4 linked regions of the Pelodiscus sinensis genome follow. The main gene of each other region encodes a partner of the protein of the gene in region 2 in a complex. Links are inferred from orthologs where the notes say so. Each region holds a gene or a part of one and is shown on either strand. Other genes may lie near its edges. The genes, in order: E3 ubiquitin-protein ligase RNF113A-like, DHX16, SNRPF and SNRNP200.

Region 1 (7,586 bases), on a different chromosome or scaffold from region 2:
ACAAACCAGAGCATCTGAGTGCATTGTCTGGCTCTGCAGCTAGTGGGGATGTAATTATAGAACATGGCCCCGCTTGATTATTACAGGAGGATGATAAAAGGAAGAATCAGGGAGCGACAGATGGTCCTGGGCAGCCCATTGTTTGATCAGAAACCTGCTCAATCTCTAAATAGCTCAAGCCTGTAACATCAGTTAGCGGGAACATGCTGCACCTTCTGAACAGTGACAAGGACAGACTCGTATACATTTCGTTACATCAAAACAAGGCCAGGAGGAAAGGATTTAATCTCGTTAAAAGAAGACCGAGGTCAATATTCCGTGGGGAACCCAACATGTTTTTCTAAAGAACCGAGTGTAAATCTATCTGAGAGCAAAATGGAAAAGGATGGTGGGGTTGCTACAGAGACAAGATAGATGAAGCGGTATCTTGTTTTGGTCCAACCTCTGTATTGGTTCAACCTCTTGAAAGAGACAAGCTTTCAAGCTACACAGAACTGTTCTTCAGGTCTGGGAAAGGTACTCAGATATGTCACCGCTAAATACAAGGTGGAACAGATTGTTTGGCATAAGTAGTTAACACATAGGCTATGTCTACACTCGCGGTTTCTTGCGCAAGTAATATGCAAATGAGGCTAAGCGTGGAATATCGCCGAGCCTCATTTGCATACCTAATGAGCCACCGTTTTTTTCAGAAGAGGCTCTTGCACAAGAAGGAGCGTCTACACTGCCCCGTCTTGCGCAAGAAAAACCCTCTTGCGCAATGCTGTTACACCTATTACTTTTCAGGAAGAATGGCGTTGCGCAAGAGGGTTTTTCTTGCGCAAGAAGGGGCAGTGTAGACGCTCCTTCTTGTGCAAGAGCCTCTTCTGAAAAAAACGGTGGCTCATTAGGTATGCAAATGAGGCTCGGCGATATTCCACGCTTAGCCTCATTTGCATATTACTTGTGCAAGAAGCCGCTAGTATAGACATAGCCATATTGTAAGAGACCATGCAAAATTCCTCTCAGTCACATATGCCCCGCAACAGGGGTTATTCCAGAGGATGCCTGCGTAGCTCACGTTAGAATCTAGTCCCCTTTTAGTCCTTAGCAGACATGATCCACATGACATGAGAAAAGCTCAGAAGGGAACTGCTCAGTTATTGCAGTGGTGGTGGTGGGGCTGTATAAGTACCAGAGAGGGAGGGATGAGGTGCTTTGGCTGAACAGAGTGAGAGCTCATGTTTAGAATAGCTGGGGATGCTGTAGACCAGAATGAGATGCATCAGCAGGGGCCTTGGGATTAGAATAGTGATGGAGACTGTAGATAAGGACTATGTGCATGGGCAGAGCTGGGGTGGCACTGGAACGGGAATGCCAGAGGTCATTGTAGATCAGGATTGAGGTGCATTGGCAGAACTTGAGGTGCATTGATACCAAGCTGGGAGCGGTTGCAAGTGCTCTGGAGAATAGGGTCATAATTCAAAATGATTTGGACAAACTGGAGAAATGGTCTGAGGCAAATAGGTTGAAGTTTAATAAGGACAAATGCGAAGTACTGCACTTAGGAAGGAACAATGAGTTTCACACATACAGGATGGGAAGTGACGGTCTAGGAAGGAGTGCTGCAGAAAAGGATCTAGGGTTAATAGTGCACCACAAGCTAAAAATGAGCCAACAGTGTAACACTGTTACAGAAAAAAAGCAAACATGATTCTGGGATTCACTAACAGGAGTGCTGTGAGCAAGACACGAGAAGTTATTCTTTCGCTCTACTCTGCCCTGATTCTGCCTCAGTTGGAGTGTTGTGTCCAATTCTGGGCACCACATTTCAAGAAAGATGTGGAGAAATTGGAGAAGGTCCAGAGAAGAGCAACAAAAATGATGAAAGGGCTAGAAAACATGAGCTATGAGGGAAGACTGAAAGAATCGGGCTTGTTTAGTTTAGAAAAGAGAAGACTGAGAGGATAAGATGCAATGGGCTTAAAATGCAATAAGGGAGGTTTAGGTTGGACATTAGGAAAAACTTCCTGTCAGGATGGTTAAACACTGGAATAGTGTAGGGAGGCTGTGGAGTCTCCATCACTAGAGATATTTAACAGCAGATTGGATAGTAATCTGTCAGGGATGATCTAGACCAGGGGTGGACAAAAGCCTCTTAGCAGGTGGGATCTGGCCCTCCTAGGGCTTTGATCGGGCTTGCAAGGCAGTTCCAGGCCCCACCCCCGAGTGCAGGGGTCGGCAACCTACGGCATGTGGGCAACTTATGGCAAGCAAATCAATTTTCAGCAGCACGTGGGAGGAAGCTCAGCCCTGCCCTTCCTCCCCCATGAAGCTGCTGGAGAGCGCTCCCTCCTCCCTGCAGTGTGGATGAAAATGAAGCTTTTTCGGGAAAACGGCCGTTTTTCTGAAAAAAACTCTGTAGTGTAGACATACCCTCAGGTGCAGCCACATCAGTGAGCGCTGGAGATTTTTGGAGGAGTTTTTTTGCTTCTCACTTGTGTGGTCCCCAAGTGATTTTTCTGTGGGTCAGTGCTGGGTGGCTACCAGGCAACAGGTTAGCAGCAGGGCCAGGAGCTGCCAGCCATGTTATGTGAATTCTAAGCCTCCACCCCAGACAACTCTGGGAGGAGGCTAGCCTCCAGCACCCTCCATTGGCCAGAAGTCAGGAGGTCGGGACCCGAGGCCAAGCAAAGCTCTCCACAGGGTAGTCGTCAATCCCACTCCTTCCGCCCAATGCCCCACCCCTTCTGGGTCAGCCCGCGGCCACTTCTGAAATTTGTGAAGTGGCCCCCTTCAAAAATTATTGCCCACTCCTAATCTAGACGGTGCTTGGTCCTGCCATGAGGGAAGGGGAGTGGACTTGATGACCTCTCGAGGTCCCTTCCAGTTCTAGTACTCTGACTCTATAACTGTATTTGTCTGACCATACAGTCTGAAGAGAGTGTTCCCAGTCTTTCCTGTACTGGGCACTAACACACTTGAAAACTGGGCATCACCTCTAGAAATGAGACACTGCCTGTAGGTGGCTTCTGCTACCCACAGGGAGGCTGGTACGATTTGGAGATGCATCCACTCTGAGCGGAACATGCCAAATCATTTCACACCAGCCACTAAAGAAGAGAAAGACTTTTGGTTATTTCTTAGGTGACCAGAGAGCAAATGTGAAAAATTGGGATGCAGGGGAGTAATGGAAGGGGGGGTAATATGGTCCTTTTTAAGACAAAGCCCCTAATTTCAGAATGGTCTTGATAATATCATGATGTCTGGTCACCCTAGTTACTCCTGACCCTGACACAAAGGGAACTATATAACTCATCCCACTCCCAATCCTTTGAGCCATCCAGGATCACCAATAAATCCCCCACCAAATACACTGAATCCTCTTTACTGGAGGATAATGGTGATACCCCATGCTGCCAACCACACTCTTTGCTTGGCTAGTTCAAAGTTGGGAGCCAAATGATTTGCATTGGGGACGCTTTCTGCTCACAGGAAGCAAAGCAAGGTTGCAAGAAGATGAGACACAGGTGCGAGGAGGAATTAACCTTTCAGGTGCCATAAGCTTGGGGATACACATGCTTCCTAAGCATTTTGTTGGCAGGCTGGAAAAGAGCAGTGTTCTTGGTATTCAGAAACAGCTGCTACTGACTCAGAGTAGCTTATAATAATCTTTTCTATTAGCTCCTTTCAGACATAGGGATTGCAAAGAGCTTTACCATGGGAACGCAGGCACCTCTAGGCTGGGGTGTGGGAGGCGTTTAACAGGGCACAGTAGTCTGGGAAGAGACCTGCTGTACTGTAACAGCCAAAGGTGGAGTTTGGCCAGGAAAGAAAGGCTAATGCCCAATACTACCTAGGAGTGCGTGGGGCTCCGCAGTGTTCGGCTTTCCCCCGTTCAGAAGGGAGCACCCAGCAGGCCAGGGTGCTTGCACCAGCCTCTCACCTGCAGGGCAGGGAAGCATTTCCCAGCCTGGGCCCTCGGGCTAGTCTCATTAATGCCCCCAGGAGCCACAGCACAACTGCCTGAAGCAGAGCAGCCCAGGGGGGGCGGCATCAGACCCTCTCCTAGCTGGGAGGGGTAGCTGCTCTCTCTGGGCAGCCCCTGAAAAGGGAAAGCTCCCTTCTGAGGCCCCTGTTTCCCTCTCCCCTCCTGGGGCGCTCCTGCCCCTCCCCTTCCTGGGGCCCCCTGCTTCCCCCTCCCCTCCTGGGGCGCTCCTCCCCCTCCCCCTCCCCTCCTGGGGCGCTCCTGCCCCTCCCCTTCCTGGGGCCCCCTGCTTCCCCCTCCCCTCCTGGGGCGCTCCTACCCCTCCCCCTCCCCTCCTGGGGCACTCCTACCCCTCCCCCTCCCATCCTGGGGCACTCCTACCCCTCCCCCTCCCATCCTGGGGCACTCCTACCCCTCCCCCTCCCATCCTGGGGCCCCTGCTTCCCCCACCCATCCTGGGGCGCTCCTACCCCTCCCCCTCCCCTCCTGGGGCGCTCCTGCCCCCCCCCCCCCATCCTGGGGCCCCTGCTTCCTCCTCCCCTCCTGGGCGCTCCTGCCCCTCCCCCCGTGCTGGGGGCCCTGCTCCGCTCCTCTCCCAGACACAGCAAGCGGAGCCAGAGGCTGCGGTTCCCCCTCCCCGCCGCCAGGGGGCCCAGCGCGGCGCTGCTGCCGGCTGCTTCCTTTCCGCTCCAGCCCGGCCCGTCTCGTTGGCGCCGGTGGGTCCTTCTCTCCGCTCCTTGCCGGCCCCTCTCGTTGGCGGCGGAAGATGGCGGAAGAAAGCCCCGTCTGCAGCTTCCTGTTCAAGAAGCGGGGCCCGGCCGCCGGTAGGGGGCGACGCAAGCGGCCGGGCAGCGACCAGGAGCAGGGTGAGGCTGGGGGGTCGCTCCCCTGCCGCGGACCGTGCCATTATCGCGGGGAGGGGTGGTGGTGAACGATGCGTTTCGGGCTATGCCATTTGTACTCGGGGGGGGGGAGGGTTTCTAGGTTTGTCTCATTATCACTGGAGACGGTTTCTGGATTGATCCATTATCAGTAGGAAAGGGGGGAGATTCCGGGGTAGGCTGCCCCACTGTCACTGGGGAAAGGGGGGTTCTGGGCTGCCCTAAAGTGTGTGTGTGGGGGGGGGAGGGGTGTTGGGCTGTCCCACTGTTACTGGGGAAAGGGGGGTTCTGGGCTGCTCTAAAGTGTGTGTGGGGGGGAGGGGTGTTGGGCTGTCCCACTGTTACTGGAGAAAGGGGGGTTCTGGGCTGCTCTAAAGAGTGGGGGGAGGGGTGTTGGGCTGTCCCACTGTTACTGGGGAAAGGGGGGTTCTGGGCTGCTCTAAAGTGTGTGTGGGGGGGAGGGGTGTTGGGCTGTCCCACTGTTACTGGAGAAAGGGGGGTTCTGGGCTGCTCTAAAGTGTGGGGGGGGAGGGGTGTTGGGCTGTCCCACTGTTACTGGAGAAAGGGGGGTTCTGGGCTGCTCTAAAGTGTGGGGGGGGAGGGGTGTTGGGCTGTCCCACTGTTACTGGAGAAAGGGGGGTTCTGGGCTGCCCTGAAGTGTAGGGGAAGTTGGGCTGTCCCACTATTACTGGGGAAGGGGTTGAGGGTTTCTGGGTTGCCCTAATGGCATGGGAGAGGCAAGGCGTCTGGACAGTGCCACTGTCCTGGTGGGTGGGGGAGCCCTGACATCCTGGAGAGGCCTGGGGGCGCCCTCCCCACTCACCCCTCCCCCTTGGTTGCTCCTGCCCCATGGGACTCTTGAACTGATGGTGCCTTTTTCCCTTGGAGGGGCCGGGGGCCCCCCAAGGGCTGGTGCCCAGCCTCTTGCGCAGGCTGAGTGGCCCCCAAAAGCCCCGTGCTCAGGCCCTGGCATGTGGGGGTGCCCCTTGGGGTGAAGGGACATGGGGCCAGGGCCTGACCCAGCCCAGCTGCTCCTGCCCCTCAGGGCCCTTGAACTGATGGCGTCTTGTCCTCCGCAGGGAGTAGCAGCGATGAGGGGAGCACGGTGGTCAGGAAGGAGAGGCGGCGGGACACCCACAACCCCATGATCCAGAAGGTGACCAAGCCCATCACAGAGATGCCCAGCTCCATGCCTTGTCCAGTTACTGCATCCCACCCTGTGTGGGACCAAACTCCTGGTCAAGTGGGGGTGGGATGGGTCCCACATTCGGCCCCTGGAAATCCCTGGGGGGGGGTGCCAACACCATGAAACTGCTCAGCAGCTGGTTTGCCAGCACCCTCCCTCAGCTGTTGCAGTGTCATACACCCAGCCTATGGATCCAGCCAGTTATACATTTTATTTGGGCTCATGACAGATTCAGACTATACAGAATTCAGGTTCTCACCTAACAGCCCCCCTGCCTCCAAAAACAAAAGAAAACCCATCCCTCTGTTTTGAGCCCATTTGATTATGGGAAAATTCTTTCAAATGTGCAGACAGTAATTGATGCAGAAGTGACTTCTGGGGTATGCAATGCCCCACGGTCAGAGAGGTGAACTTTCCTCTCAAGGGGGTAATTTATGTTTCAAAGCCTAATGAGGATATACAAAGGACTAGATTTTACTAATCTGTGAGCATAAATGCACAGGTTGGGTAAATGCATATGAAAATGGCCAGCATAGGGCAGTAAGTGGAAGATCTAAAAGATCTAAAAGTATCCTGTGTGACTTTTACCCAGTGTGATGCAGTATGCCACAATAACTTCAGTTAACTTCAGTAACTGAAAATCTAGGCTACTGCTTTGCTGGTATAACTATACTGGTGTATTATGTCAGCAAAGGGGTTCTAGTGTGGATGCAGTTTCTATTGATTTTACCAGTATATCTTATTTCATCCCCCACCCCAAGAAAGAGTAATATCAGCATCAGTGAAGTTTTGCCTGTATAGTAGTATCTGCTGGCACTGCTAGGAGGGGTCAGGGATCACACCCTGGCATGACAGAAGCATACTGGCAGAATTCTAAAGCTATGGCTATCCCCTGAAGCAGTTAAGCTGTGTAAGGATTCTATGGCTTGTTTGATTTTTCTCAGACCTCCTATTGTTATCCAGTGGAGATGCACGGCAGATTGAGGGAAACGAAAAGTTCTGGCATTGTAGGCTCACAGATCCAAATTAAACCTATAACTTGGCTCTCTTAATGCAAGAATTTTACTCTGTGATGCCCCTTGATCTAGGAGAATCAAAGGAGTTTTGCTCTGCCCTCCTTCCAGCCCAGCGGTGGCTGCATTAAACCAATGCTTTGTGGATATGGGCCCTGATTTTGACAATTTTTCACTCCACTGATTTGCTTTCCTGGGCTGCAACACTGTCTCTGGCCAACCAGGAGAACATGTCTGGGTGTTGTGTTGTGTGGATCTTTCTCAGTTCTTCAGATATTTGCCTTTCCATCTTTCAGACCAGGAAAAGTGATAAAGAGAAGACCTCGTATGGGGCAAGCAGCAGTGATGATGAGGGGGAATCGCAAGGAATTGGTGTCGCTTACAAATCAACGAGATCAGCGGTAAGCACAATGCGCCACATGGCTTTAAAAGGGATCAGAAGGGACACTAAGATCACTTACTCTGGTCTCTGTTATGCAGACTATGTCATTGGTTGGTTTTATGATTGGGCGCCATGGTCAGGTTTTGTTATTGAAACT
Region 2 (7,382 bases):
TGGCACCAAGGAGGGATCCAGCAGCAAGGATAGGGTTGGGGATGGGTGCTGGTCGCAGGGCAGGCTCTGACCTTCTTGTCCGACCGCTCCAGGATATTCCTGGTCCGCTCCTTGTCCTTGCGCTTGACCCGTTCGGCAAAGGCGTCGCGCTCCTCCAGGTCCTGCAGGCGTTCCCGCTCGCTGCGGTCCCATTCGTCCTCCGAGTCCTTTCCCTCCAGGGCCGGGGCCGGCTCCCTGCATCCGGGGAAGGGCCAGAGACCACAGTCAGGGCACTAGCCAGCCCCGGGGAGCCCCAGCGCAGGGGACTCTCCCTCGCCCCACCCTCTAAGATCCCCCAGCGGAGGCGACACTCACGGCTCCCGCTCTGCCTCGTTCTCCTCCTCTGACGCCTCCTCCTGCTTCCGGCGCAGGTGTTTGCGCCGCTTCTTGTGTTTTCTCCCCTCGGGGCAGTGCTTAGAGCCTGGGGCCCCCCCCGCATCTCTCTCCTCCTCCTCGCTGTCCTCCAGCAGCTGGTACGAGCGGTTCTTCTGCTGCAGGGCGAGGGCCTCCCGCTCGGCCACCCGGGCCGGACGCTCCTGCGGAGCTGAACGTGGGACCTAAGAGCAGGGCAGAGACAGGGGTGGGGTTAGAAATACTGCACAGACAGTGCTCGCTCCCTGCCCCCCCCCTTCTGCTTTCTCCTTTAGCTCCTCCCACTTAGCACACAGGTCCCGCCTCTACAGTTGGCTCCTCCCCCTCCCCAAAGGCTCCTCCCATTCTGCTAAGCTTTCTCCTTCCCATGTAGTTCCTGCCATGGTAACCTCTCCCTAAATCCTCCTCCCCTGCCTCCCCCCCCCAACCTCCACAGGACACTGCTAGGGCTAGCCCTGCCCCATCCCCTATAGGCCTCGCCCGCTAACCTCACAGGACTCCCCCCTTGGCGCCTTCTCCATCCCTACTGCTCCTGCTCCCTTTGTTCACAGGCCCTTCCCTTTCAGCCCCACTCCCTCTCCTGCCCCCCAGCATGTCTCCTCCTCTCCCCAGGCCCTTAGCCCCTTGCCTGACACTCCGCCCTCTGGCCCTACTCAGCCCCTCCAGTGTGACCCCTCCTCATCCCTACTAGCTCCTCCCCCTCCTGTGTGACCCTCCCCACCCCACTGGCCCCTTCCCCTCCAGTGACCCCCCCCAGCCCCACTAGCCCCTCCCCCTCCTATGTGACCCCCCCCGCCCCCTGGCCCCTCCCCCTCCAGTGACCCCTCCCTCCTGTGTGACCCCCCTTCAGCCCCACTAGCCCCTCCCCCTCCTGTGTGACCCCCACTAGCCCCACCCCCTCCTGTGTGACCCCCCTCAGCCCCACTAGCCCCTCCCCCTCCTGTGACCCCCCCTCAGCCCCACTAGCCCCTCCCCCTCCTGTGTGACCCCCCCTTAGCCCCACTAGCCCCTCCCCCTCCTGTGTGACCCCCCTCAGCCCCACTAGCCCCTCCCCCTCCTGTGTGACCCCCACCCCCTCCTGTGTGACCCCCCTCAGCCCCACTAGCCCCTCCCCCTCCTGTGTGACCCCCACTAGCCCCACCCCCTCCTGTGTGACCCCCACTAGCCCCTCCCCCTCCTGTGTGACCCCCACTAGCCCCTCCCCCTCCTGTGTGACCCCCTCAGCCCCACTAGCCCCTCCCCCTCCTGTGTGACCCCCCACTAGCCCCACCCCCTCCTGTGTGACCCCCCCTTAGCCCCACTAGCCCCTCCCCCTCCTGTGTGACCCCCACTAGCCCCACCCCCTCCTGTGTGACCCCCCTTAGCCCCACTAGCCCCTCCCCCTCCTGTGTGACCCCCACTAGCCCCTCCCCCTCCTGTGTGACCCCCCCTCAGCCCCACTAGCCCCTCCCCCTCCTGTGTGACCCCCCCTCAGCCCCACTAGCCCCTCCCCCTCCAGTGTGACCCCCCTTCAGCCCCACTAGCCCCTCCCCCTCCTGTGTGACCCCCACTAGCCCCTCCCCCTCCTGTGTGACCCCCCCTCAGCCCCACTAGCCCCTCCCCCTCCAGTGTGACCCCCCCTCAGCCCCACTAGCCCCTCCCCCTCCTGTGTGACCCCCCCTCAGCCCCACTAGCCCCTCCCCCTCCAGTGTGACCCCCCTTCAGCCCCACTAGCCCCTCCCCCTCCTGTGTGACCCCCACTAGCCCCTCCCCCTCCTGTGTGACCCCCCCTCAGCCCCACTAGCCCCTCCCCCTCCAGTGTGACCCCCCCTCAGCCCCACTAGCCCCTCCCCCTCCTGTGACCCCCCTCCCCCACTAGCCCCTCCCCCTCCAGTGTGACCCCCTCAGCCCAATGGCCCCTCCCCCACTGTGGCCCCGCCCCTCCGTTCTAATGGCCCCGCCCCCCGCGGTGTGGCCCCGCCCACCTGCTCCCAGAGGCGCCGGGCGAAGGCGCGCACGGCCGGCTCGCTCACGCGCAGCGTCTCGGTCTCCTCCAGGCGGCTCAGCAGCTCGTCGGCACTGCGGCTGCGCCGGGCCAGGCCGAGCAGGAACGCGACCACGTGCCGCTCGCTCAGCCCCAGCAGCGCGTGCAGCTCGCCCGACACCCAGCGCTCCAGCGCCGCCATCCTGCCCCCGCTTCGGACCCCCCCGTGGGCCACCGTACCCCGCTTCCGGGCCACGTGACCGCCCGGGCCAACGGCTTCCGCCATCGTCATAGCGCGCCGGCGTAACGCCCTGTACCGTAATGACCGGTCTATGAGCGGCGTCAGACTTCAACAACCCACGCTCGCCCCCGCCTTCGCCCGCTACCGTAATGAACGGAATATCCACCGCGAGCAAAACTCTCTGGTCGTAAGGACAGGGATACGCGCCTCCACTTTTGCGGGCGACTTCTTACCGTAGTGTCTGGAATATGAGCGGCCCCGCCTCCAGCCAGACTTTTTACCGTAATTAAAGCAATAAGCGCCTCTCCAGCTGGCTCTTTACCGTAATGACAGGAATAGGAGTCTCTCCATCTCCAGCCGGCGTTCTTACCGTAATTATAACAATATGAGCCTCCCCTTCTGCAGGCCCCTCTACCGTAATGACAGGAATAGGAGTCTCTCCATCTCCAGCCGGCGTTCTTACCGTAATTATAACAATATGAGCCTCCCCTTCTGCAGGCCCCTCTACCATAATGACAGGAATAGGAGTTCTTACCGTAATTATAACAATATGAGCCTCCCCTTCTGCAGGCCCCTCTACCGTAATGACAGGAATAGGAGTTCTTACCGTAATTATAACAATATGAGCCTCCCCTTCTGCCTCTACCGTAATGACGGGAGTAGGAGTTCTTACCGTAATTATAACAATATGAGCCTCCCCTTCTGCAGGCCCCTCTACCGTAATGACAGGAATAGGAGTTCTTACCGTAATTATAACAATATGAGCCTCCCCTTCTGCAGGCCCCTCTACCGTAATGACAGGAATAGGAGTTCTTACCGTAATTATAACAATATGAGCCTCCCCTTCTGCAGGCCCCTCTACCGTAATGACGGGAGTAGGAGTTTTCCATCTCCAGCCGGGCTTCTTACCATAAATATAGCAATATGAGCCTCTCCATCTCAGCGGACACCTTACCGTAATTGTGAGAAAATTAGTTGCCCCTTCTCCGGCCACATAGCCTACCGTAATTACAGGATTACGAGCCTCCCCTTCTCCAGCTGACTCTGTAATTCTGCACCTTCTCCAAACAGATCCCTTAAGATAGCAATATGAGTCTCTCCTTCTCGGGCCGGGCCCCTTTTACCGTAATTACAGGATTGCTCATCATACAGCCAGACTGGCTTCCATAATGACCATAACATGAGCCTCCCCTCCATCCAACCAGACATGCTACCCTAATGGCATCCCGCCACACACCTATCCATTTACCGTACTTACAGGAGTTCATGCCCCCTCCAGTTTTCACCTCATGCTGTCATTATGGATATACACACACCCCACGCTGGGGTGGGATTTTTACTGTAAGAATATAAGAACGGCCAGGCTGGGTCAGACCAAAGGTCCATCTAGCCCAGTGTCCTGTCTGCCGACAGTGGCTAATGCCAGGTGCCCCAGGGGGGAGTGAACAGAACAGGGAATCGTCAAGTGATCCCTTCTCTGTCACCCATTCCCAGCTTCTGGCAAACAGGCTCAGGACACCACCCCTGCCCATCCTGGCTAATAGCCATTGATGGACCAATTCCCCATGAATCGATCCAGTTCAGTTACCATCCTACCAGCTGCAGGCAGAAGCACAGCCCAGTCCGGCTGATCCTCACAGGAGTTTGGTGGGGAGGCAGCACATGGAGAAGTCAGGTTCTTTACTGTACGTGCAGGTGTAATCCACACATTAGGAATGTGCCATTATCAGCGATCTTGTGTAATGTTGGCCTGCACCGTAATTACTGTAATACAAGCTGCAGAACCAATTCAGGTCTGTACCATAATTAACCATGCATGGGCTCTAACATGGATCTGAACTGCAATTAATAGAGGACAGGATACATCCAGAACGGGCTCTGCACCAGTGTAGTGGTCACTGTGTGGGTCCTCCCTTCCAAGTCAATCCTCTACCATAATTACTAGTGTACAAGCCTCAAATACTATTGGGACCTGTACCATAATGACCCATGCACAAGCTGCCCCCTCAGCTCGGCCCTTCACCATTACTGCTCACGTCTGAGCCACAGCTCCAGTCTGTGCACCCTATAACCTGCACATGAGCAGCTACCATGGTCCTGCTCCTCGTTTTTATTGGTATAGGAGCTGCAGTTGTCCTCATGCTCACTGTCATGATAGCTATCTGGCTGTCCCTTCTCTAACCCCAACTTCCCTTGCACAAGCCAATGTTTTCACACTTAGGAGCTGCTGCCCTAATTTGGTTCCTTTCTGTAACTAGCTGCGTGTCTGCCCATCAGATTTTTACCATAGTTAACTGGGTATGAGTCAGTTTCCGGCCTCTCTCTTTTAGCACCGTTACAAACCTATTCAGCTGCCTCCCCAGTTCACAGGTTCTGTATTTACTAGCATTTGAGTCAACTTCCCGACTACGTTTTTTATCATATTTACAGACAAATCAGCGTCCCATCTGATTGTTTACCTTATTTCCAGGCATGAGTCAACTCTGCTTCTAGACCCATGAGTCACATTTTTCAGTAGGCACATTACCGTATGTCCCAGCAGACAACCTCCGCTGGCTTCCTGCCATATTGACCAGAGTCTGAGTTGCCTTCAAAAGTAGGATCATCATCGTTTTTACAGAGCCAGCTCTTATCTGTATTTCCAGGCATATGAGTTGACTTCCTCCACGTAATGTCATTGTCTCTAGCTTAACGGCATCATGCAGCAAAGCTTCATTCTCATTGTAGTCCTGTCTCAAGCACTGTTCTTCTATGGGGGGGGGGGGGAGCTGCAAAGCAGCGTTCCCTATAAGCTGGGCACTTGGGTGGCCACCCAAGAGCGAGTCAAATGCCGCCCAGAATAGCAGAGTGCCCTCAGCCGGCAGCATGTGTTTCTACTGGTGGTGCACATCTGCACATGCCTTGGTGCATAGAACAAAATTTACTCCGCACAGGGCTGGAAAAAAAATCAAGGGCGCATTGATGCAGAGGCAGCTGAAGGTTGCCTGGACATGTGGGATTTTCTCCTTCTGACACACTAGCAGGGATTTCAGCCTCGGTGGGGCTGCAGCAACGTAGTGCGGAGCTCGGAGGCTGGGGCAACGTGGGCTAGGAGGCAGTGCAGCACCCACGCCACCAGGGGGCAGGAAAGAGCCACGGTCTTCCCCAGTGTGGAGGTCTGAGTGTTGGGGGTGAGCGGGAGAGGCGGGAATGGGGGATCCCGCCTTGTCAATGCCTCACCACTAGGGGGCGGGAGAGAGTGAATGGGGGCTCAGGTGCCTACAGGGCAGAGCTGCAACCCCCAGGGGGCGCACAGGATCTGGCAGGGCAAACCCTCATCTCCAAGGGGTACATGGGAGCCAGGTCCCGGCAGCATCCACCCCTCACCCTCAAGGGGTACATGGGAGCTAGGTCCTGACAGCACCCATCCTCCCCTCCTGTGGCATCTGGGAGCGAGGTCCCGGTAGCACCCCCCCCCCGTTCACAGAATCATAGAACTGGAAGGGACCTCGAGAGGTTATCGAGTCCAGTCCCCCGCCCTCACAGCAGGATCTAGATCACCTCCAAAAGGTATAGGGGCACCAGGTCCTGATGGCTCCCACACCCCTCCCAGACCACGTGGGCCACAGATGATAGGGAGGCGGCTTCACGTGCAACATCTCTCCGTTTTATTATTATTATAACACATATAAAAAAACGCTATTGGAACTGGCCGGCTGCGGCACCCTCCCCCCGCCAGGGCACAGACGCCTCCTGCTGAGAGGGTTAAACAGGAGGGGGGGTTATTGCCCCTGGACGTCTCGCCCCCGTGACCACAGGGCTGCTCTGGGCGGGGGGAGGAGCGTGCCGCATTTGTTCGTTCACTCGCCCCCTCGTTCCTGGGCGAGGACGCGACTGCTTCCCCCAGTGCAAAGGAAAAAAAATAGTCATAACGAGAATGAACTAAACTCACGGAGGAGGGGCTCATTCATCCATCCATCCAGGCCCGCCCCCACTCACTCCGTGCCCTCCCCACACACTGAATTCCCCATTCCCTCCACGCTCACGCTCGTCCCCACACACTCATCCAAGTCCACAGTCACATGGCACAACCTCCTCCCGCCCCCATGAAAGGAGGTGAAATTGCTCCACCTAAAGAGGAAGTGGGATGGCTAAAACAGGAAGTCACCCCTTTGGCCCGCCCTCTGCCTCCATCACTTCGTCGTCCCCCACCTCCAGTCTCCTCCCCAAATCCTGGCTGGCTCTGGCTCCCACCCTCGAACCACATACTGCCCCGTTCCCCCCCAACACAACTAGGCTTGCCTCAAGTATACAAAAATGGCCCCACCTGTAACTAGCTCCAGCCTACTTACAAATGGCCCTCCCACCCCTGCAAAATAGCAATTTGCCCCACCCTCCAAATACTGACTGGCTCCGCCTCCGTCTCAAGTGGCTCCGCCCCAGTCGTAGATTGCCCCGCCTCCAACAGTGATCCTCTCCAGTTATGAGTGGGACTTGTCAAGTAGCAAAGTGATCCCTCCCTTCCCCAATAGACCCCACCCCCACTGTGCTACGCTAACTCCCCTTAACTCTGACCACCCGGGCAGCATTATTAGGAAGTAAAAACTGGGTAGCAAAAGTTCCTCACCTGCACGACATCCCCTAGAAAAAGGGGTCAAGAGTTACAAAAAATTGCATGTGTGTATGGTGGCGGGGTGGTTTTCTTCGCCACCCTCCACTAACAATTAGTCCATCCACACCCATTTTGGGGGGAGGGGATGTGACCTTTAACCTTTGGCTGAAAAGGTA
Region 3 (7,759 bases), on a different chromosome or scaffold from region 2:
TCCTTGGTCACTACTACAGTCCTTTGAAATTCCAGCAGCCATAGTACACTCCTGTTGCCCCAGACTGTTGGAAGCAATATATAAGGGCATGTCTACACTTGGTAGTTATTTCAAAATAACTCTCTGTATTTCGAAATAACAAGGAGAATATCCACACTGCTGAGCTTGTTTTTTCGAAATAATGGGCTTGTTATTTCGAAATAGTAACTCCTGCTTGTGAAGAAGAATAAGCTTATTTTGAAATAGTTATTTTGGGAGTTATTATTTTGAAATAACTTAATATGAAATAACCTGATAGTGTGGACCTAGCTTCTAAGGCTAGGTCTACCCTACAGCTTTTTCCGATTTTTTTTTCGGAAGAGGCTTTTCTGAAGTTTGGCCCGTCTACACTGGGCCAAATTTTGGAAAATCCCCCTCTTTCGGAAGATCCCTTCTTCCTCATGGAATGAGGAGGACAGGGCTTCTGAAAGTGCGCGTTTGCACTTCAGCAAAAAAAAAAAGAGAAGAGCAAACGTGTTCCTGGACACAGCAGAGTTTTTCTGGGATAACTTCAGTCTCCTGGAAAACCCCCACAGTGTAGTGGGGTACTTAGAGACCCCTCTGTATTCCAGCCACAAACCATTCTATGCGGCATTCCAGAGGAACTGAGCATAGCTGTGCCAAAGGAGTAGAACTGTTGTACACACACTTCCAATCCCAACTGTTCACCTGTACAGTGATGAAGCTTCTGTCTCACTGTATGTAGAGATGTCTGTGGTCAAAGAGAAAGATATGTGATTTAGCTCAGTAATAATTAAATCAGGATTAGTTGTAGTATTTCTTTGAACAGTATGGAGACAGAATGAATTTGCCAATGATTTGAGGGGATATGATGCATAGGGGAATGGACGCTACTTGGAACTATAATTGTTTTCTGAATATACTCATTTTGCACACAAAAAGCTGAATATATTGAATATTAAGTGGAAGAAAATCATACTTACTGTGTACAGTAGCCTCAGTCTCAAAATAACTTATTTATATATTGGGGGAAGTACTTGTCTGATCAAATCCCGCTATGAGACTGCTGTGCTAACACATGGATTACTTAAATGTTACAAACTCAATATTCATTAGGGATGAAAGGAGTTAGGAGTTATAACTGCAGCAATACAGGCAGTCCCTGGGTTACGTACAAGATAGGGACTATAGGTTTGTTCTTAAGTTGAATTTGTATGTAAGTCGGAACTGGCTCCAGATTCAGCTGCTGCCACTGAAACTGACCAGGGGCTGACTACAGGAAGCCGGAGGCAGAGTTGCTCTGCCCCCAGCTTCCTGGAATCAGCCTGATCAGTTTCAACAGCTGCTGAATCTGGAGCCTGGAACAGAACAGCTGGGGCGCCGCCCGGTAGGTTCCCACAGGACCAACCCGGCAGCACCCCAGCTGCTCTACCCGAGGCGTCCCGCAACAAAAGCCTGGTCTGCTGGGGGGGGGGGGCACACTAGCTGCGCCCCCTCCCCCCCCAGCAGACCAGGGAGACCCGAGCAAAGCCGCACAGGCGGAGGGACCCAGGCGGCGGCTTTGCTCAGGTGTCCCTGGTCTGCTGGGGGGATCCAGCGGCTTTGCTGGACCCCCCCCAGCAGACCAGGGGGACAGAAGCAAAGCCGCCCAGGCAGCGGGGGTCCCGCCGCCTGGGCGGCTTTGCGCCCGGGCAAACAAGCAAAGCCGCCCAGGCAGCGGCTTTGCTTGGGTGTCCCTGGTCTGCTGGGGGGGTCCAGCGGCTTTGCTGGACCCCCCCCCAGCAGACCAGGGAGACCGGGAGAAGCTTTTCTCACCCCGGAGGACACGGGTGGCGACTCGCCGCCCGTGAGCTCCGGGGCGAGAAAAGCCCCATTCGTAAGTGCGGATCCGACATAAGTCGGATCCGCGTAAGTCGGGGACTGCCTGTATACCTAAAGTTCATTAAGTGTAACCAAGTTAGGAAAGGCATTCTATGAATTCTATTGCCAAGAGAAGTAGTAGTAGTTCTACTGTCTGAGAATTAAAACTTTACTGCAGCTTCTAATCATGCACCAGCACGGACACAGATTAGATGGCTTTTTCCCCAGTTTTAGTTTTTATAATGGTATGCTCATATTAATTAAAACATCCTGCCCTATCAATTACTCTGTTATACAGAAATCCAGGCCACTGTGCTTTGCTGGCTTTATATGAAGAATATAAAAGAGTTTTGTACCAGAAGGCTACCCCGTACATCTCCAGACAGTCCTTGTGCAAGATAAGCAATGCCACCTTGTGGATAAATATATACACTCACACTACATTCACTTCTAGGGGTATGTCTACACTGCAATGCTATTTGGGGGAAATAGCTATCCCCGGGTCTTTTGAATGTGTCCGCTATTGCGAAATATAGCAGACATACTATTTCAGCATCCCTGTAAACCTGTTTGCATGAGAGATAAGGAATGTCTTGAAATAGTGTTTTATTTAGAAATTTGGCACCTGTAGATGTGCCAAATTTTGAAATAGCCTATTTTGAAAAAAAGACTAAATAAGAATCTAAATACGATACGCAAATTGCGTAGCGCAAATTGCATTGCACAAATTGCACATCTTATTTTGAGCTAAGGGTGTAGACGCATCCTAGGATGAGGCTGAATCTGGTTTGCAGATTTGTAACCCTGTGAGTTCCCAGGTTATTACAGACAAGGAGAGTGGGGGGTGGAGGAATATCTTTTAATGTCTGGATCAGTTTCAGTGGACGAATTTCATGTCATCCAGAAATATAAAAAATGAAGTTCTAAGTTGGGGGCAATGACCACTTTACCCCCAATCCTGCAATGACCTTTCATTAAAAAAAATAATTTTTTTTTGCTCAAATGTAACAGGCTCATTCTCAGCTCAGTAATGAATTTATTATTTATTTGGAAATATTTGTAGGCAAAATAGTTCAGTAGTTTTCAAAACCAAAAAGAACAAAATAAATTTAGTACTGTTTGGGAGGCACTTGCCTGCTCTGGCCAGAACTGGAAAAATAATGGGGCATGAAAAAGTCTATGAATAAATCATCAAAGTCACAGGACTGCGTGGAGCAGCTCTGTGCACTGGGTCAGGATGACACTAGGGCTATGTCTACACTGGTGGGTTCTTGCGTAAGAAATATGCAAATGAGGCTAAGCATGGAATATCGCTGAGCCTCATTTGCATACCTAATGAGCCGCCTTTTTTGCGGAAGAGGCTCTTGCGCCAGAAGGAGCTGTCTACACTGCCCCTTCTTGCGCAAGAAAAACCCTCACTCCATCCCTAGCAGCATGGATGCAGCCAGGTGAATGCATTACAGAGGATGACTTCTGAGGTGTCATTAGGCTGCAGTAATGGGGGTCACTGTAAGTACATTAAAGCAGTGGTTCCCAACCACCAGTCCGTGGACCAGTGCCAGGCCATGAACCGTTGGCTGCCAGGCTGTGGCACACTGCCAGGCCATCCCCATGCCTTGACAGGCAGGGGCTACCTGGGGAGAAGAGAACAGGAGGCTGGCTTGCAATACCTCGCCTGCCCCACAGAGCATTAGCTGCCATGGCTCTGCCCCCGCAGCCGAGTGTTTACTTCAGCTCCTCTCCTCTAGTATGGAGCAGCGGCATGGCCAGGGTGGGACGGACCAAACTGTTGCTGGGGAAGCTGCGGAGGGATGGTCAGAGGGCCTTGGCTACTGACAGAGGCTCGCTGTGGGGATGTGAGACCTTCCCACCTGTCCCATGTGCGTCCCCTGGTCCTAGAGGCAGGTGGGAGCATCCTGGCTTCTCATGCTGCAGCAGCTTCTACCTTCTCCAGGGGTCCCAGGTAGGCTGCAGTTGCTCTGCCCAGTTCACATGTGGGACATGGAGACTGGGGGGGGGGGGCCTATGTGACTCCCTCTTTCTAGAGGTGGGGACTAGTTCAGTGTGGTGGGGATAGGAGAGAGTTTAGGGTGTCTAACTTCTTTCCCTCTGGGCAGCAGGCAAAACAAAAGGCCTACCTCATGACATTTGCATGTCCAAAAGTTTCAGAGGGGCAGCCAAGTTACACTGTAATAGAAAAAAACTTAAAAAACAACAAATAGTCCTGCAGCACTTTAGAGACTAACAAAAAGTGTAAGTGGTATCATGAGATTTCCTGGGCATAATTACATTTCAAAGAAAGTTTACATAGGTGTTAATCACTCAAGATAAGAAAGGATTCTTTTAGAGAATTTTTAGTGTTGTAGATAACTGCAAACTCTGATCTCTTCCAATGACGTGTATTGTGTGCATGCTTATGCGATGTAAAATAACACATGACCTCTTAAATTAATTAGCATAATAAATATGCAAATAGGCCAATAAAATATTACCAACCCACCAAAAGTTTGTGAACAGGTTTGTGGGTCCGCAGCATTAAAAAGATTGGGAACCACTACACCGGCCCCTGACTCTGCAATGGGCGCCACGTGCTTGGCTCCTCCCTGGGCCCTAGAAGACACTCTGGCTCCCTCCTCTGCTCCCCCATCATAAAGTCCCTAAAAAAGCGCAAATCGAACTCCAGCCCGCGCACACAGAGGATTACGGTAGGGAAAACCAGCTGCTACAAGAAGCCCCTATGCAAGGGAAGGGGCGTGGCCTTCTAGCTCCGCGAGGGTTGCGTCACTAGCCACGCCCCGTCGTTCGGTCTAGCCACTCAGCACCCGACTTTTCCGTTCGCGCGCTAGCCCCCGGGCCCAACGGGATTCAGGCTTTCGTGGGCGGGCAAAAGGCGGGAGGTCAGCGCGCACTCCCGGAAGCGAAGGAGCGGACGTCACTTCCTGGCTTTCTCTCGGACTCCGGCGGGCGCACGTGCGGCCCAGCGAGTAATTTTTGTTTTCAGCGCTGCCTTGTGCCAGGCCGCGTTGCCATGGTGAGGGGGGCCGCGCCGCGAGGCGGGTGGGATTGCCGGGGGGGGGGGCGCCCTGGGGTGGGTGAGGGGCGGCAGGTGCCGGGGGAGCCCTGGCCGCGCTCGCGCTGACCCCGCTGTTGTGGTGACTCGCAGAGCTTGCCCCTGAACCCCAAGCCCTTCCTGAACGGGCTGACGGGGAAGCCGGTGATGGTGAAGCTGAAGTGGGGGATGGAGTACAAGGGCTACCTGGTGTCCGTCGATGGCTACATGAACATGCAGGTCAGTTGGAGCCGGGACGCGCCCCCCCTCCCCCGTTGGCCCCAAGGGCTCCGGGAGACCCGCCCCCTCGCGCAGCCTGGGCTTGCGGAAGGAGTTCGGGGGGAGACGGGGGCGGCTCAAACGTGGGCGTGTGGGGTTGCCAGCTCTCCCGGACCGGATGCCATTGCCGCAAATGGTGTCCGGTCCTACCTTTCGGGAGAGTTGGCAACTCCGTTCCGTGGGGAGTCGGGGGGTGCCTATGACAAGGTTGTTCAAAAGGGGACACGGGGTCCCCTTTGCGGCGTGAGGGTTGTTCAGGGGCCTCATAGCGGGGTCGAGGGCATCAGAGGTGAGTGACTTGCCTGCTATCAAAGAAGACCTGGCAGAAGTAGACCCAGATCTTACTGCTTCTGCACTGCCTAGTTCTATGTGGAGCCACCTACACCCTTGCTCCTGCAGTGCTCTGTGCAGGGCAGCAGCATCTCCAACATGAAGGTATGATTGGCTTGAGAACTGATGAAAAGGATTTACACAAAGTTTGGTTTGTAGACTAGTTCTAAAGCAACAGACCATATTTTGCTATATATGGCACACTCTTCTGGTCAGATTCTTCAATGAAAAGTGAAATATAATGAGCTACATGCATAATAAAAACAAAGAGTTCTAATGAGGTACAAGTTACTATTAAACAGACCCAGTTTCCCAAAGGGCCCAGTAGTCCTTGTAGAATGTCTTTAGCCTGACAATAGTTTATTGATTGCTGGCTGAGAATTTTCTTCAAACAATTGTGCTAATGTTTTGTTCCTTAAAGCTTGCAAACACAGAAGAATACATAGATGGTGCATTGTCTGGACACCTTGGTGAAGTTTTGATAAGGTAATTATCAAAATAGATTATTTAGTAAGTTATGTAGTGGATGTATTACATTTGTAGATGGACAGAACTCTTCAATTCCTTAATAGTCAGCCTAAAACAGTCTGAAAATTTGCAATATTAAATACTTTAGTTGCAGTTTCTAATTCTGTGCTAAGCAATTTCTGGCAGATCATAATAAAAATCATACTGGTTGCACCTCCCAAAACTGGAATTCTCTGGTCCAGCCAGACCATGGAAGTTCCTTCATCAGAGAACTCTGGTAGCCTAGTGGCAGGAGGGTAATCCAGGAGGAGCAGGGCTGAAGCAATGGGATGGGGCAGAGGTTAGGGCTGGCAGCAGCCCACAGCAGTGGAGCTGGAGCCAGCAGTTTCTGATAGCCTGTGGCACTGGGATTGGTCAGGGTAGCACCTGGCAGCGCAAGACTGGGACAGCAGCAGGCAGTCTGGCCGGGGCAGCAGGGCCAGCAACCCAGCAGGCAGCCCTGTCGGGCTGGAGGTAGTCCTCCATACCCGTTCCCCCCCCCCCCCACCCCCCCCTAAATCCCCAGCTGGCAGAGTCGGCGGCTGGGGGCTATGGTAGGAAACTTTTCTAGTCTGGCAACCTCCCTAGTTCAGGATTGGTTAGGTCCCAAATGTGCTAGATAAGAGATGTTCAACCTGTATTATCAGGGGAGGGAAGAACCAACTACAATACCCATTTCATAATTTCTCCTTTTTGTAACTTCTTTCATATACATAAATAAGATCCCAGATAACCAATGAATCTTTTGTCAATAGTTGAGAAAAATCTTACCAATAATATCAAGAAGTTAATTAGGCACTGAATAGTTTCACAGAAATGATGGGTCTCTAAATGAGGAGAGGTAGCAGAGACTCCAGTGAGTGTATGTGTCTGAGGAGGTAGAGTGGATTTTCAAAAGAGTATCAACAAATTTTTGCATATATATTAAGGTCCAGCTCCTGCAACTTTATGTGCTTGAATAGGGATGTTAGTGAGTAATTTGAATAGTTGTATAACTACATCAAATTCCAGTGGTTGCATGACTATTTGATAGTCCCCAGGGACTATTAGAGGCAGCAGCACTTGGTGGCAGCAGTCAGTGTTCCCTCTAAGCACAGCTTCATAGGTGATTAATAAGCTCTACCCAGGCTCAGGGAGCTGACTGAATGGGTGGGGATGATTAATCACCTGTAAAGATATGCTGCAGAGCAGATTAGAGGGAACACTGACAGCAGCCCCTGTCTGCAGGGGGGCTGAGCTCTCTTTGTTCACAGAGAGCTTGGACCTCCCGCAGATAGGGGCCACTGCTGCAGAGCAGCCTCCATTTGCAGTGAGCCTAGGTCCACTGTGGAGAGGCTGCTTTGTGGTAGCTTCTTCTGTGACACCCGCTCCTCCAGGTGGCTGAGCAGGTGACTCCACAGAGCGCTGTAGGAGGCAGCAAGAGTGGGAAGAGGCAGATGGGTCTGTGGATAGCCAGCCTAACAGCCTGCTCCCCATGCATACTGGCTCCCCTCTGCCCCCTCACCCTCTGTGCAAGGCAGCAGTGTGGGGGTGGGAGGGAGGAGGCGGATCCAGTGCTCATGAGGTGCCTGCTTAAAGCCAGCTCCCGTTCTCCCCCCCCCCCCATATTCCACTGTCTCTAAAGTGGGGGGAATACATGTAGTCAAAAGGATTAACTAATAAGCCCAGGCTTATTACTTAATCATATAGTCATCTGCTCATCGACATCCCTATGCTTGAAGTTAAGCATGGGCA
Region 4 (7,450 bases), on a different chromosome or scaffold from region 2:
CCCCATTCGAGTGCCCTCCAGCTTCCCAACCAAGGAGAGCACTTCCCCTGTAGGCTCATCTCGCCTGGTCCTGTCGATCAAGGAGCGATCAGCTTGCAGTACAAGATTAGAATTCTGAAAGGGATAACATCACAAGAGCAGATAAGAGGTGTGAAGAAATCAAACAAATTCCTATACATTATCCTCATTACTGTGGTGCCTAGTGTCATAAGCCAAGACCCTGTGGTGCCAAGTGCTATACAAACAAAAGACAATCTCTGCTCCCAAAAGCTTACAATCCAAGTATAAAACTAGGAACTCCTCATGGATACAACTAGCACAGCTTAAAGAATCAATGAGTTAATATTGACAATCAATAGTGGTCTCAGCACACTAGCAATCAAGCTTTTTGTAGGCCTCACGGCAAAAAACAGTTTTGAGAAGGGATCTGAAAAGAAATGAGGTAGCTTTGCAGATATTTATAAGTAGTGTCACAAGGAAAAGGGTCAGTACAGGGAAAGCAGGGCAATGCTTGCCTGGAAATTTAAGAAGTCGATGGTAGCAGTAGCCAACCAGAAGTAGGAATCAACTATTCAAGAGCAAATTAGAGGGAGAGAGGGAAATGACTTCAAACGCCTAGAAAGCATATACAAGTAGCTTATACACTTCAGAAGGTAGTCATGTTAGTCTGTAACTGAAAAAAAAAAATGTAAAAAACAATAATCCTGCAGCACTTTAGAGACCATCTATATTTTTTGTTAGTTGCTAAAGTGCTGCAGGACTCTGCTTTTTAATTTTTTTTACCAGTAGCTTATGTTGGATATAATAAAGAAAATTAACCCAGTGAGGGATGCAAAGAAAGGAATGGTATGACAAACTGGGGGCTTTTATTCACTTTATGATGTCGCATGTGAATGCTACTGTCCTATGGTAATCCCATGTGTGTGCCTCAGTTTCTCACAGCACTACATCAATACCTAGATAGTGAAAATACAACCCAAAATTCCCATAGCTGAAGGCAGCTACCCCAGCTGCCTACATGTACACAATGGCTGAAGCCCTTTGTAACCTAAGCGGGGTGGGGGAGAAAGAGCACCTGCTGCCCAGGAAGCAGGACAAAAACTGGAGAAAAGGCCAAGCTGGGGACTGGGACAAGACTGCTGGGGATGTAGATTAATCTCAGCTATTTTAGGGAAGCAGGGGGATAGTGTTCCCTGTAGACTGAGTGCTTGGGCAGCTGCCCAGCAGAGATTCAGATGCTGCCCAGCTGATTAGCAGAGTGCCCACAGCATGTGTTTCTATTGGTGGTGCACATCTGCACATTTCTCAGTGCACATACATTTATTTCACTCAACAATGGAAAAACTTAGCGGGAACCTTGCAGGGGGAGGCCCTGGCTCTGCCCTCCCCCCCACATGACAGATTGCAATAACTGCTTCTGGTTGCTCTGCTGACAAGCCTGTTCTACGCTATGTCCCTGTTGCCTAATAAATCATGGGGCACTGGGACAAGGGTGCTATGGTAATACTGGCCCAGTCTGAGGTGGTGGCACCAGACTTGATGATGCCCAATGCCCACCTGACTTTGACATGCATAGACAGGACCCCATTCAAGGTACCCATAGCAAGAGTACCTGAAATGGGGGGGCTAAAAGGGCCCAAAAGAGGTGGAGGTGCACCATCACTTGCCCACTGGGGTGCTGATGGGGAGTGATCTGGAAGAAGGACCCCACAGTGTTCTGGTCACTACCCTTAGCCAAAGCCAGCAAGAGGCACTCTGCCCTGGTGAGGGTAACCTGAAGGGGGCACAGGGCCCTACACTGGCAGAAAATTCCCAACAGCCAGGCTTGGCATTGCTGTGATGTCAGACCCAGGCTGTGAAGGGGAACAGGTCTCCATCCCTTCCCTGGCTGCTAAACTCAAGGCTGAGTTGCAGAAAGATCCCTCCTTACAGAAGCTGAGGGACCTGGCTGGCCTCAGTGCAGCACAACTGCTGGGGGAAGAATGCAAGGAGAGGTTCCTGTGGTTGAAGGGATTCCTGAACCGGGAATGGATTCCATCCCCAAGGGAAGTGGAGTCATAGCAGGGGGTGGGGGTCCAGCAGCAGTAGGTGATTCCCAAAAAGTACCTTGGAAGGCTACTGTACCTGACCTGTGACATCCCACTCTCGGGAAACCAGGGTCTCCAGCACACCAGGCAGTGGCTGCTACAGAACTTTTACTGGCCTGGAATCTTTGATGCTATCCAACAGTCCTGCAACCCTTACCACAGGATAGGGAGGGCCCAGGACAAGGGGAAAGCCAACTTGAGGCCTCTGCCAATCATAAGAGGAGCCTTTCCAGAAGATGGCTAAGGATATAGTGGGACATTTCAGGAAAGCCACCCAAACTGGGAAGATTTCACTACTCACTACTCTGAGGCAGTGGCTCGGTCTTCTATTGAGGCAGACACACTGCTAACCATTTTCAGCAGAGTGGGGTTTCCCAAGGAGGTCCTTGCAGACCAAAGGTTCAACTTTATGTCAGCCCTGCTCTGGTGCTGGTGGGAGAAGTTTGGGGTGTGAAATACGCAGCCTCAGCAGGCTGGGGCGAGGCTCAATGGGACACTAAAGCAGATGCTAGAGACCTTTATGCACCAGCACCCACAGGGCTGGGACAAGTCTTTACCCCACCTGCTGTCCACGGGAGTCTCCCCGATTGAGCGCGAGGCCCCTGGACCTGCTGAGGGAGCAGGCGGGCAGGCCTCCCCCGAGGGGGAACCGGAGTGAGGAATGTACCGGCCGCCCGAGAAAAGCTCGGCAGAGCCTAGTCGTCTCCCCCAAAACCGGGCGCCCGCGCCCCTCTCCGGGGACTGCTCTCCCCGCCCCCACTCACCGCCTTGTATTCGTACTGCAGGCTCCGCGCGGTCACATCAGCCATGGCGCCGCCTCAGCTACCCGGCCCCGGCCGCGACCAAGCGGAAACGCAGCACCGCACGCACGTCCGAACCAAGGCAGCAAGTACTTCCGGAACACCCCGGAAGTGCTGAAGAACGAGCCGTTGCTTCTCAAGAGGCCCTCTCGCCCATACGTCATCACCCCCGGCCAGGGGGCCATGCGATATTACGTCATGGGTCCGCCCCCGAAGAGCTGGCCCTGGCCCGAACACGCCCCGCGTTGCCTAGCGACGGGCCGGGCTTTGTGTCCATCAGGCGTGCGCGTGCTCAGATGGCAGGAAGCGCCCACGTGGCCCCCGAGGCGGATCAGCTCCCGCTTGCAGGGTGGGCAGAGTTTCAATGCGCATGGCCCCAGGGCTCCTGGCCCCCCGGAGCATTGGTCTGGTCTGGGCGGGGCAGGGCTCCTCCTCTTCGCGGTTTTGTTTGGATGCGAAGAAGCTGGCGGGGGATGCAGGGAAGCGCGCTGCGCAGCGGTGTCCTGCTGGGCGCAGTGCGGGTGGCGGGGCGCAGGCGAGGCGGTGCTGGCTCCTGGGAGGGGTAACTTTCAGCTGGCACAGAGCCCATGCCCCTTAGCCCTTTTATTGACCTCTCGTAGCCCCAGGCAACAGCTGGGCCATGGACATTCCGGGTTCGCAGGTACAGCCCAGAACCCAGGCCCCAGCGCAGGTACAGCTGAGAAGCCAGATCCTGGGGTGGGTACAAATGAGCATCCAGCGCAGGTGTAGTCGAGAACTCAGGGTGGGTACGGCCCAGAACCCAGACCCTGGGATAGGTACAACTGAGAATCCAGGGCAGGTATAACCTAAGACCCCAGGCCCTGCGGTGGGTACAACCCAACCCAGAGCCCGGGGTAAGTACAGTCGGGAACCTAGGGTGGGTACAGCCAAGAACCCATGTAGATACATCTCATTAATCTCTGTATTAATTATTTTCTCATTGACATTTTTATCAATTGACTCTGTATCAAGTTCTTTTAGCATTGTATTACGTCTTTAGCTTTGTTACATTAAGTCCTTTTATATAGAAACTTTGTATACTTTCATATAGAACATAGAAACTTTGTATTAAGTCTTTTTACATAGAAACCTTGTATCTTGTAGACTTTGTACCCCGTTTTGCGTAATTGATTGTCCTATTGAGTGAATGAGGTGTGAATGGATAAGGCATGAAAGACAACCACCTCTGGACACTTGCAAAGGTTGGAGAGGGGTGGAAGCCAGATCCAAGAACAATGAGAAGAACAATGGGATCTGTGAAGTGGGCTCATTGAAAGATGAGTGGACATATGGACACTTTGGGAGTCAGCAGCAAGTGCCAGCTTTTGGAAGCACCCTCTTTGAAGGAGAATGTGGCAGCATTGAGACACCACCCAAAAGAAGGTGCCACAGATGTCTTAACTGCATATGAAGCAAAATGCAGGACAATGTAGCACTTTAAAGACTAACAAGATGGTTTATTAGATGATGAGCTTTCGGAAGTGGGTCTGGCCCACAAAAGCTCATCATCTAATAAACCATCTTGTTAGTCTTTAAAGTGCTACATTGTCCTGCATTTTGCTTCAACTACCCCAGACTAACACGGCTACATTTCTATCACTTAACTGCATATGCATATGATGACTCTTACAGATGATGCATATGCATGTGATGACCAACTGGTGGAGATCTGCAGGAGAGGGAAGACACTATAAATCTAAGGCATCTTGCAGAGGGACCCTGGGTTTTTGTCTTGTCAACATGGGAGCACCTACCCAGATCTGCAGAAGCCCTCTACCCCTCCCCCACCTAACTCACCTGGCCAGTGCAGTTAGAGGGAACAATTATTGGTAACAACAAGAAGATGGGGTGTGCTTGTGTTATCATATGCATATGATAAGTGTTGATTGATATATGTGCTACCAATAAATATGGTGTTTTGCCTTTTTGCCCTGAAAAGATCTCAGGGTACGTCTACACTACAGCGCTAGTTCGAACTAACTTAGTTCGAATTAGTTAATTCGAACTAAGCTAGTTCGAACTAACGCATCTAGAACTAAAAACTAGTTCGAACTAGCGTTTTGCTAGTTCGAACTAGTAAGTCCACATTGAGTGGACTCTGAACAGGGCTTAAGGCTGGCCGGAAGCAGTGCCGGCAGGGCATAAAAGGAGGACTTAGAGCATGGAGATGCTGTCTCAGGCTAGCCGAGGGCTGCGCTTAAAGGGTCCCGACCCCCACCCCGGACACACAGTTCTCAGGGGTGCCCCGCTTGCAAAGAAGTTCTGGCTTGGAGTGCCCTGAGTGCCCACACTGAGCACATCACACCACTCGGCCATCACCCCGGCTGCACTTGCCGCAGGCTGCCATCTGGGGAGAGGGGGTAATTGGGGGGCAGCAGGAGAGCTTCCACCCCCAGAAGCCCGCAGAGCCAGCCCAGTCCTCGCCATCGGGGGCTCGTACCCCATACCTCCCTCACCTCCTTCCACTTACCCTTCCCTAGCCCCCCTTCTTATTGATGTACAAAATAAAGATAACGTTTCTTCCAACATTGACTCTGTCTTTATTGAAAAAAACTGGGGGAGACTGGGAAAAGGAGGTGGGAGAGGGGAAGAGAAAGGCTGGGAGAGGGGAGGGCAACTAACATGATCAGGGGTTGGGAACAGGTCCCAGATGAAGAAAGGCTACAGAGACTGGGACTGTTCAGCTTAGAAAAGAGGAGACGGAGGGGGGACAGGATAGAGGTCTCTAAAAGCAGGGGTTGGGTGGAGAGGGTGCATTCAGAAAAGTTCTTCCTGAGTTCCCATAAAGAAGGACTAGAGGACACCAAAGGAAAGGAATGGGTAGCAGGCTTGAAACTAGTAAGAGAAAGTTGTTGTTGTTGACAAAGCAAATAGTTAACCTGTGGAACTCCTTGCTGCAGGAGGCTGTGAAGGCTACAACTAGAACAGAGTTTAAAGGGAAGTGAGATCAAGTCATGGAGGTTGGGTCCATGGAGTCCTATTAGCCAGAGGGTAGGAGTGGTGTCCCTGCCCAAAGTTTGTGGAAGGCTGGAGAGGGATGGCACGAGACAAATGGCTTGGTCATTGTCTTCGGTCCATCCCCTCCAGGGTCCCTAGGGTTGGCCGCTGTTGGCAGACAGGCTACTGGGCTAGATGGACCTTTGGTCTGACCCAGTACGGCCATTGTAAGCTCAGGGCTCAGTGTCGGGGGTCTCAGTGGACCCCCTTGATTTTCATGCACACCTGGTCCTGGGTGGCCAGGCTGGCAGCTCTCCTGCCCTAGACGGCCACTTTCCTGTGCCTAGTGCGGAGATCGTGGACGAGGTCCACGATGTCCGCACTAGCCCAGGAAGGTGCCCGCCTCTTGCGGTCCAGGGCAAGCTCCCGGGAGCCGCCAGCCTGGTCCCGGCAAGAGGGGGTGGGCTGGGGGGCATCGGGTGGGTGGCTCTGTGCCGTGCCAGGTGCAGGGTCTGCTAGCTGGGTGCTGGCAGGCTTGCACCTGGCACGGGCACCGTAGCCAGCCCGTGCCCCTTTAAGGGGTCCGGGGCCGGGAGGGGGGCATAGAGTTTCCCTGGTGTTGGCCAGAGTGGCCACCAGGGAAACCTGGGGAGGGCTAGCCTCCCACTAGTTCGAACTAAAGGGCTACACAGCCCTTAGTTCGAACTAGCTAGTTCGAACTAGGCGTTAGTCCTCGTAAAATGAGGTTTACCTAGTTCGAACTAAGCGCTCCGCTAGTTCGATTCAAATTCGAACTAGCGGAGCGCTAGTGTAGCGCATAGGAAAGTTAGTTCGAACTAACGTCCGTTAGTTCGAACTAACTTTCTAGTGTAGACATACCCTCATGCAGTACTCTTAAGGACAACACCCATGCCCTGGGATGGGTACAGCTGAGAAACCAGGGCCTGGAAAAGGTACAGGTGAGAAACCAGGGCAAGTGTGGCCAAGAACCCAGGACTTGGGATGGATACAGTTGAGAACCCAGGTACAGGGGCAGGAATAGCTGAGAACCCAGGGCAGGTATGGCCGAGAACCCAGGCTCCAGTGGTGGGTACATCTGAGAACCCAGGGCAGGTATGACTGAGGGCCTGTGGCCTGGGGTGGATATAGTTGATGGTGCGGGGAGGTGAGTATGGCCAAGGGCAGGTATGGCTGAGGACACAGGACATGGGGTGGGTACACCCAAGGACCTGAGGCAGGTATGGGGGGAGCAGGACCCAGGGTGGGTAGACCCAAAGCCCAACACGGTATGGCTGAAGATTTAGGCCATTTTCGCGATCGGGGCTTTTTTCTGGAAAAGACTACTGGGCTGTCTACACTGGCCCTTTTCCGGAACAGTGTTCCAGAATAAGGACTTATGCCCGAGCGGGAGCAGAATAGTTTTTCTGGAATAGCGGCTGATTTTGTACAGTAGAGCATCGTTGCTTTTCCAGAAATTCAAGGGCCAGTGTAGACAGCTCGCAGCTTATTCCGGAAAAGCGGCTGATTTTCCGGAATAAGTGGTCCAGTGTAGACAGAGCCTGAGTGGATAAGAACATAAGAATGGCCGTACTGGGTCAGACCTGT

Evidence for each region.
Region 1: DHX16 (region 2) and E3 ubiquitin-protein ligase RNF113A-like share a complex: the UniProt entries of both Homo sapiens proteins name them as parts of the minor spliceosome. The link is inferred for Pelodiscus sinensis from reciprocal best matches to the Homo sapiens genes DHX16 and RNF113A.
Region 3: DHX16 (region 2) and SNRPF share a complex: the UniProt entries of both Homo sapiens proteins name them as parts of the minor spliceosome. The link is inferred for Pelodiscus sinensis from reciprocal best matches to the Homo sapiens genes DHX16 and SNRPF.
Region 4: DHX16 (region 2) and SNRNP200 share a complex: the UniProt entries of both Homo sapiens proteins name them as parts of the minor spliceosome. The link is inferred for Pelodiscus sinensis from reciprocal best matches to the Homo sapiens genes DHX16 and SNRNP200.

What each region holds. Positions count from the first base shown.
Region 1 is NC_134739.1:6,623,080-6,630,665, forward strand, and holds the start of E3 ubiquitin-protein ligase RNF113A-like, read left to right. Parts: upstream 1-4,570; 5' UTR 4,571-4,733; coding exon 4,734-4,833; intron 4,834-5,927; coding exon 5,928-6,004; intron 6,005-7,343; coding exon 7,344-7,448; intron 7,449-7,586. UniProt on the Homo sapiens protein: Required for pre-mRNA splicing as component of the spliceosome. As a component of the minor spliceosome, involved in the splicing of U12-type introns in pre-mRNAs. E3 ubiquitin-protein ligase that catalyzes the transfer of ubiquitin onto target proteins.
Region 2 is NC_134742.1:11,515,146-11,522,527, forward strand, and holds the start of DHX16 (pre-mRNA-splicing factor ATP-dependent RNA helicase DHX16), read right to left. Parts: upstream 3,002-7,382; 5' UTR 2,667-3,001; coding exon 2,376-2,666; intron 1,029-2,375; exon of another isoform or gene 933-1,028; coding exon of another isoform or gene 900-932; intron 597-899; coding exon 355-596; intron 235-354; coding exon 72-234; intron 1-71. UniProt on the Homo sapiens protein: Required for pre-mRNA splicing as a component of the spliceosome. Contributes to pre-mRNA splicing after spliceosome formation and prior to the first transesterification reaction.
Region 3 is NC_134711.1:81,493,064-81,500,822, forward strand, and holds the start of SNRPF (small nuclear ribonucleoprotein F), read left to right. Parts: upstream 1-4,757; 5' UTR 4,758-4,888; coding exon 4,889-4,891; intron 4,892-5,023; coding exon 5,024-5,149; intron 5,150-5,939; coding exon 5,940-6,004; intron 6,005-7,759. UniProt on the Homo sapiens protein: Plays a role in pre-mRNA splicing as a core component of the spliceosomal U1, U2, U4 and U5 small nuclear ribonucleoproteins (snRNPs), the building blocks of the spliceosome.
Region 4 is NC_134738.1:241,348-248,797, forward strand, and holds the start of SNRNP200 (U5 small nuclear ribonucleoprotein 200 kDa helicase), read right to left. Parts: upstream 3,010-7,450; 5' UTR 2,897-3,009; coding exon 2,852-2,896; intron 115-2,851; coding exon 1-114. UniProt on the Homo sapiens protein: Catalyzes the ATP-dependent unwinding of U4/U6 RNA duplices, an essential step in the assembly of a catalytically active spliceosome. Plays a role in pre-mRNA splicing as a core component of precatalytic, catalytic and postcatalytic spliceosomal complexes.